Saccharomyces cerevisiae S288C: one gene and its partner. The gene in region 2 interacts genetically with the main gene of each other region. Each region holds a gene or a part of one and is shown on either strand. Other genes may lie near its edges.

Region 1 (4,200 bases), on a different chromosome or scaffold from region 2:
TCATTCATATACTGGCACTTACCGAATGTTTCTAATTCAAAATGTATGACCACCATAGTAGTCTTTGTACATATTTGGATAGCATCTGCCTCGTTATCAATGCACTGCAATCTACCGTATCCGTCATCCTCAACATTCTTCTTGACCTGTTTTAAATGATCTGATATTTGTTGTAGCCTCTCCGACCGATAAGCACTCAAAAATTCATGATCCTCGTCTAATTCTCTATCCAATTCATTAAGTAGTTCATCTAAATTTTCCTCGCCACTACTTTTGTCATCGCTATCGACAGTTGTGTGTTTATCCTTTTCAGCATTTGAAAGCACATTTGTGTAGTATCTGTCTAATTTATCTTCCATATTAATTTAATCTTCATATACGTATGAGTTGTTAAGAGAATGGAGTATTTTCGTTAATCTTTTGTACTTCATCCTACTTTCGTGTTTTTTAAACTCTAAAAATTACACTACTATGATCACTATATTGCTATGGAATAATAAAAAGCAAAAACGAAAGATTGAAAGGAAAGTCGTCCTTTTGTATCCATCTTTTAAACAAAGCTTACAAAGAAATTTGCCGTCATGACTTGCTAAATTTGATATAAAACTAAAGGAACCAACAACTTACCTAGGTGTTCTTTTTTGTCCCCGTATAGTGAAGTAATTGGTGTTACGCCCAGTCCTGCAGTTTTAGCTTGGACCACAAAACATAATGCAAATCCAGTAGAGGTTATGCAAACTGTTTGGTGAGCATAGTAATACCACACCCGGTATAATTTATATCTCTTGTTCATTGTCTGTATATAAGGTGTATTCGCATATATTAAATAGCCAGACGTTTCCCTTCAAAGCATTTTGATCCTGGAAGAGAATAGCAGTAATTCTGTCTAGACTACAGTATAAAAATAAATAAAAATGGGCATCACAGAAACAAAAAGGACAATTGCATTAACTAGAAATTGTTTGATCGAACGCGTATCATTCACAGCGTATTTACTATGTGTCAATGATTTTTTGGATTTCGATTTGGAAATACTTGTAGGTAATGGCAAATCTGAGGTGTTACCATCAGGTCGTGTAAATACTCTGTTCATTATGGTTGCTACGCGATTATTAAAAGATTTTGGGAAAAAATGCATGTATGCGATAAAGGCAGCAGAGAATAATAATCCCCATAGGTACATTCTGATTGCCTTATAGGGATCTGGCATATAGCATAGCTCTGTTTGGTAAGTTTTTGATGCATACTCTCCGCCGGCATTTACCATTGTCAAATCTGAAGGATTATATAAGGAGAGCAATTGAATAGCAGGCCTACTGATCCCCATGTTCATTGCACATGACTTTACTGTAATTTCTTGAGCATTTTTAGTTTTCCCCTGAAACGGATATGAGTGTGATATCTGACAATGGTCATGATCATCCCCGGAAAATAATATTTCTGGTTGAATTTTCGTTAAAATTTCTTGTGATATATCGTTTTCTATAACTGTCTGGTACTGGTGCCCTTTCTGAATAGGAAAAGGTTCTTTGGATTCACGTAGCTGACCGCACGTTTGCTGTTCTGGATCCCTCCATAATGGAACGTGAGTTAAAAGAATTCTAGGAAGCGGATGTGAACCCATTGCAAAATTATCCAAAAACTGTCTAGGAACCCTCGAGACATTCGGATTTGTTTTATCAGAAAGCGAAATTGTATCTAAAAGTACAAAGGTATGATTTCCAGCGTCTAATGAGGAGGAAGTTTCTCCAAAGTAACTAGAAAATCTCTGTAAACTCGATTCAACAACTGTGTCTCCAAAACCAATATCGTGATTACCTGGTAAAGACATGACCGTTCTTCTCAGTGGCTTCTTGGGGAATATTTGGTTGAATCGTGTGTACTCTTTAATCCATTGCTTATCATCCCAGTTTCTCCCTCCATCAAATAGATCACCTAGGAAAAAATTGCTATCAGGATCCAAGTAATACTGGACATATTTCCAATTTCTCCTGTGATAATGGTCAACAATCACTCTTGTAAAATAATTAACTATTTGAGGCCTCCCAGGATATGAATATTCGTCCATTATTTGTGGGTCTGCAAATAAACCCACCCTATGACTTTCAGCGCCTTCAGGCCAATCCTCCCAAGTCGACCATTGGCACTTCTTCATTGCTCTCTTCACAACCACTGATTCATAATAAGATATTAATCCTAACCATAAGATCCATACAATAGATATGTATCTCCAGTAGATTCTTAACCTCTTCTTGCTCCTGCTTTTTGATTTCTTTTTCGAACGTGATTTATAGTGGGCCTTATCGTCGCTCTTCTTGCTGTGTGTAGATAAAACGCTCTTTGACCTGTTACGATATACCATACTTCCTAGAGCTTATTGTCTAATGTATCCAACAGATTAGTAGAAGCGGTACTGTTTTCCCTTTCTTTTTGGTTATTGTTGTTTCCATAATCGTTCGTTCTACATTTTTAAAAATAAGAAAATCTAACCCGCGAGTTGATTTCAGCGATCTCAAAACAAAAAGTAGCAAGATTAAAAAGGAAAACCGAAAATTTCTACAGCATTAAAAGCATATGAGAGTTCATCAATGGGTATTTTTCAATCAATAGAAGAAGCAAATAATACTTCTGAGAGATTGCTGAGGTCTGAGATTAAAAATAGTCATGGAGAATTTGAAAAATTCGATTTTGATACAGAAGAATACGAAATTAACCCTAAAAGGAAGTTAAGATTAGTCAGCAGGATAAACCCAAATGCTGGACATCTAAGGAAATCTAAGTCCTGCTTTACTGTAGATGAGCATGTTGACGAAACGCGTTGTCAGAAACCTGTGATGAAGTCGCCGTTCATGAGTAATGTCGATGATGAGATCAAGAAAAAGAGAGAGACAATTACAAAGATGACACTAGAAATTGAACATCATGAATTGAGCCAGAATATTAGAAAACCAACTGATGATTTGCTTCCTGATAGCACGTATCAGCCTTACCACAAGAAAATGTTGAAGCAAGAAAATAGAATGATTCAATCGGACATCGTAAATGGTGAAAATGAAGCAGACAGGCTTTCATTAATTTCAGACAGACTGGGTATGTTGAATTGGGAAGTAACATTACAGAAGGTTACTAAAATAAATGACCCCACTGACGAGAATGAAATGGAGACTAAACGTTACCAAACTAAAGAGCTGATTGATTCAATGTTACATAAATTTGAATCTATGAAAAAAAAAAGCCGCAATTTAGCTAGAAGGCCAGCCTCAAGTGATTCATTGTTGAAATTGGTTAGTGGCAAAGATTGGCCCAAGATATATACTCGAATCGATCGAACTTTTATTCCAGATTACGCAAGCTCCTCTGACGAAGAAGAAGAAAAAATAACCGTTGAGGAAATAAGGGAGAGACGCCTAAAGAAGAGAGAGCAGCAATGCGGTGGTTCCATTATAGTACTGCTGAGCGATCATCAATCACAAAAGGGAATGACACGGTTTGCTATCGTAGCTGAGCCGCTCCGAAAACCGTATTTGATTAAAACCTCCACTAAAGAGAGAAATTCATGGAAAAACAAAGTTCCCACAAATCCAAAAAAATTCAAGAAAGCTCCTCGAATATCAACGCAAATTGCTGTGAAAAGAAGAAGGGAAGTCATCCCGTTAACGATGGAGGTGGAACCAGAAGTCATTCGGGATATAAGGCAAGATACACAAAAGTCTATGAAACTGAATGTTAAAGCGGAGGAAATATCTGTGACAGAGACTGTCAAATCAAAAGAAATGAATGCCTTAAGGAACAATGCTGCATCTATAAGTCCAACTCTTTCAGAGAAGGCACCTTTAGGTTCAATTTCATCTTGCACTGCATCTCAGATTTCACAAAGGTCTTCTGAGAATGTGGGTGCTATTATTAACAATATCAACCCAAACTTAGCAATAGTGCCCTCTTGTAACGAAAAGACCTTTGTAAAAACACACAATGGAATGAAAACTAACTCAGGTATTAATATTTTGCCTGTCCGCAAGAAAAAAAAGGTTTAGTTTGAACTAATATAATGCGATGGTGTAAATGAAATTCAATATTTCATAGTTGCTTCTCAAAACCTGCGTGAAAAATCAGCATGGAAAATGCAAAATGATTATTAATACTATGTATATTTTAAGTGCAATATATTTACGTATCCTTCACGTGTTTTCTAAAATATGT
Region 2 (4,102 bases):
CGTCTTTACCGGTGTTTTTGCGTATACAGTGGATGCCTATAGAAGATATGCAGCTTCTGGAATGGCTTGTAACACATTTGTGAGATGCATAATGGCCGGTGTCTTCCCTCTTTTCGGACTCCAGATGTACAAGTCAATGGGAGTGAATTGGGCCGGCTTTCTCTTGGCAATGGTGACCGTAGCGATGATTCCTGTCCCATTTCTGTTTACCAAATACGGTGCCCGACTGAGAGCCAAGTCGCCGTATGCATGGGATGATTGATTTTTTTGCATATTTTTTCCTTTGGATGTTGCATAATCTTTTCCCGCTTACGTCATTGGTGATAGATTGTTTCGGATCTTCAAAAGGCAACACGCATAGGCCAAAGAAAAAAGAAATTTTGCATTTTTTCATTTTTGCATATTCTCGCATGTTTTCTTTCTTTTTCTCTAGTTTTCGAATGTTTTTGGCTGCAATGTATATTGTATATAAACCATAAAGGTGCAAAATGCCAGATGTACGCGGCCAATCTTAATTTTCTAGTAAAAGTAGCAGCTAAATCTGAAACTCTCTAGCTTGTAATAAACGAAGGATGACTGTACAAATTCCAAAATTATTATTTTTACACGGCTTCTTGCAAAACGGTAAAGTTTTCTCCGAAAAATCATCTGGTATTAGAAAATTATTGAAGAAGGCTAATGTCCAATGTGACTATATTGATGCACCAGTCCTTTTAGAAAAGAAGGACTTGCCATTTGAAATGGATGATGAAAAATGGCAAGCCACCCTAGATGCGGATGTTAACAGAGCCTGGTTCTATCACAGCGAAATCTCTCACGAATTGGATATCTCAGAAGGTTTGAAGTCTGTTGTTGATCACATCAAGGCCAATGGCCCATACGACGGCATTGTCGGTTTCTCTCAAGGTGCCGCATTGTCCTCTATCATCACCAACAAGATCTCAGAGTTAGTTCCAGACCATCCACAATTCAAGGTAAGTGTAGTCATTTCCGGCTATTCCTTCACCGAGCCAGACCCAGAACATCCTGGAGAATTGAGAATAACCGAAAAATTCAGAGACTCATTTGCGGTAAAACCAGACATGAAGACCAAGATGATCTTCATCTATGGTGCTTCTGACCAAGCCGTCCCATCCGTCAGATCCAAGTACCTGTACGATATTTATTTGAAGGCGCAAAATGGTAATAAGGAAAAGGTGTTGGCTTACGAACACCCTGGTGGACATATGGTTCCAAACAAGAAGGACATTATCAGACCAATTGTTGAACAAATAACCTCTTCCTTACAAGAAGCTTCTGAATAAATCGTAGGTTGTTGCTTACCTGCTTTCTAGCTTTTTACTATCACACGCAGGGTGTGTGGAGTGAAATGCTGATCGAGTATGTATATATACATATAAGTACTTTGTATAGAATGAACCACAAGTTTGTAGCATCCTTTCTCTTCTCTTCCATCCTGCGTGCTGCTAACCCCGCCCGGCGCGAAAAATCCACCCGGGGTGCTTTAGCGTGGCTTACGAAGACCTTTTTAAACATACTTATACTCTTTCTCGAAGGAAGAAAATAATGCAGAAGAGAAACAGCAGAAAAAAAAGAAATCATATTAAATTTCAGAATCAGTCTCCTTTTGCTTCTAGTCATTTAACCATCAAACGCGTTTAACCGTTTAGAAAACCCTCTTCAACAACTATTTGTTTTGATACTAATATTAGCACATCTCTATTGCCATTTAACCACTAATTTTCCGTATAGCGTTTATGTTTGATGACGTCCCAAGAATATGAACCTATTCAATGGAGCGATGAATCCCAAACAAATAATGATAGTGTCAACGATGCGTATGCCGACGTGAATACCACTCATGAGTCGCGTCGAAGAACAACTTTGCAGCCAAACTCAACATCCCAGAGCATGATCGGAACATTGAGAAAATATGCTAGGTTCATCGGTCCTGGTTTGATGGTATCTGTATCGTACATGGATCCTGGTAACTATAGTACAGCTGTAGCAGCGGGTTCTGCTCATCGGTACAAGCTTTTATTTTCTGTCTTAGTTTCTAATTTCATGGCTGCTTTTTGGCAGTACCTCTGCGCCAGATTGGGTGCTGTCACTGGCCTAGATCTGGCACAAAATTGTAAGAAACATTTGCCCTTTGGACTTAACATTACTCTTTATATTCTGGCGGAGATGGCAATTATTGCCACAGATCTGGCAGAAGTGGTAGGAACCGCTATTTCTTTGAATATCCTTTTCCATATACCTCTCGCCCTAGGTGTGATACTTACTGTGGTAGACGTTTTAATTGTTCTGCTAGCTTACAAACCTAACGGTTCCATGAAGGGTATCAGAATATTTGAAGCTTTTGTTTCTTTATTGGTGGTTCTTACCGTAGTTTGCTTTACTGTTGAACTGTTTTATGCCAAACTGGGACCTGCCAAAGAAATATTTTCTGGGTTCTTACCCAGTAAAGCCGTTTTTGAAGGTGATGGGTTATACTTAAGTCTGGCAATTCTGGGCGCCACGGTAATGCCTCATTCATTATATTTGGGGTCAGGTGTGGTTCAACCAAGATTAAGAGAGTATGATATCAAAAACGGACATTACTTGCCAGACGCGAATGATATGGATAACAATCACGATAATTACAGGCCATCCTATGAGGCCATCAGTGAAACTCTGCACTTTACTATAACGGAATTACTGATCTCGCTGTTCACGGTGGCATTATTTGTCAATTGTGCCATTCTTATCGTGTCTGGCGCTACACTATACGGGTCCACTCAAAATGCTGAGGAAGCTGACTTATTTTCTATTTACAACTTACTCTGTAGTACTCTTTCCAAGGGAGCGGGAACGGTATTCGTGCTGGCATTGTTGTTTTCAGGACAGAGTGCCGGTATCGTGTGTACGTTGAGTGGACAAATGGTTAGTGAAGGGTTCTTAAATTGGACTGTTTCTCCGGCATTGAGAAGATCCGCCACAAGAGCGGTAGCCATCACGCCTTGTTTGATTTTAGTGCTTGTAGCTGGACGTAGCGGCCTCTCTGGTGCACTAAATGCTTCCCAAGTGGTACTTTCTCTCTTGCTGCCTTTTGTTTCTGCACCTTTACTTTACTTCACTTCAAGCAAGAAGATTATGCGTGTACAGCTTAACCGTACCAAAGAACTTTCAAGAACTACAGACAAAAAACCCGTGGCCGACCGAACCGAAGATGATGAGACCATTGAGCTCGAAGAAATGGGCATAGGCAGCAGCTCACAGGAGCGCAGCTTAGTTTCTCCTGCTCCAGAATACAAAGACATGAGCAATGGAATGATCGTCACCGTGCTCGCAATCATAGTATGGTTGATTATCTCCGGACTGAACTTTTATATGTTACTGGGCTTTACTACGGGCAAAGAAGTACACCTCTAATATAACAATTCTTTAGACTAGTATAAGTATACATTTTATCCAAGAATAATAACAGAAAATTCCAATCAAAAAGTTGGTGTTAGGCTATACTGATGGCCGTATCGCTCCATACGAGCCAATCAGGGCCCCGCGCGTTATTTCCGCCGCTTACAGCTTTCTTTGAATCTCCCTATGAAAAGGGACCTAATTGGTCCGGTCAAAGCATTAATAAAGATCAACAATTGCTCTTGCTTATCAAGGTGCCAGATCTCAAGGTTACCTCATTTCTTTACATTTCATCCACATTTTAGCACACTTATTTATTATTACAATTTGAAAAATTGTATCACTTCTGAGACTTAGTAGCGGAGATAAACAGCCGAACAATTGTATTTGACACATAAACTAATAAATATACAACAATGTTATCAAGGGCCATATTCAGAAATCCAGTTATAAATAGAACTTTATTGAGAGCCAGACCTGGTGCTTATCATGCAACTAGATTGACTAAAAATACGTTTATTCAAAGTAGGAAGTATTCTGACGCACATGATGAAGAAACCTTTGAGGAATTCACCGCAAGATACGAAAAGGAGTTTGATGAAGCCTATGATTTGTTTGAAGTGCAAAGAGTGCTCAACAACTGTTTTTCCTATGATTTAGTTCCTGCTCCTGCTGTTATTGAAAAAGCTTTGAGGGCTGCCAG

The links. Genes that interact genetically often act in the same process or in processes that back each other up.
Region 1: mutations in SMF2 (region 2) and CDC1 together harm fitness more than expected from each alone (negative genetic interaction), as found in Saccharomyces cerevisiae (3 studies listed by BioGRID, with this or other methods).

What each region holds. Positions count from the first base shown.
Region 1 is NC_001136.10:825,744-829,943, reverse strand, and holds CDC1 (putative lipid phosphatase CDC1), read right to left. Parts: upstream 2,363-4,200; coding exon 887-2,362; downstream 1-886. Other genes in the region: PLP1 (Plp1p), read right to left, coding at 1-359; YDR182W-A (uncharacterized protein), read right to left, coding at 590-793; SAS4 (Sas4p), read left to right, coding at 2,589-4,034; cohesin-loading factor complex subunit SCC2, read right to left, coding at 4,168-4,200. UniProt on the Saccharomyces cerevisiae protein: Probable metallophosphoesterase which may participate in recombinational repair of double -strand breaks.
Region 2 is NC_001140.6:205,890-209,991, forward strand, and holds SMF2 (divalent metal ion transporter SMF2), read left to right. Parts: upstream 1-1,764; coding exon 1,765-3,414; downstream 3,415-4,102. Other genes in the region: YHK8 (Yhk8p), read left to right, coding at 1-262; FSH1 (putative serine hydrolase), read left to right, coding at 573-1,304; YHR050W-A (uncharacterized protein), read left to right, coding at 3,586-3,756; COX6 (cytochrome c oxidase subunit VI), read left to right, coding at 3,816-4,102. UniProt on the Saccharomyces cerevisiae protein: High-affinity manganese transporter involved in manganese uptake from the extracellular environment.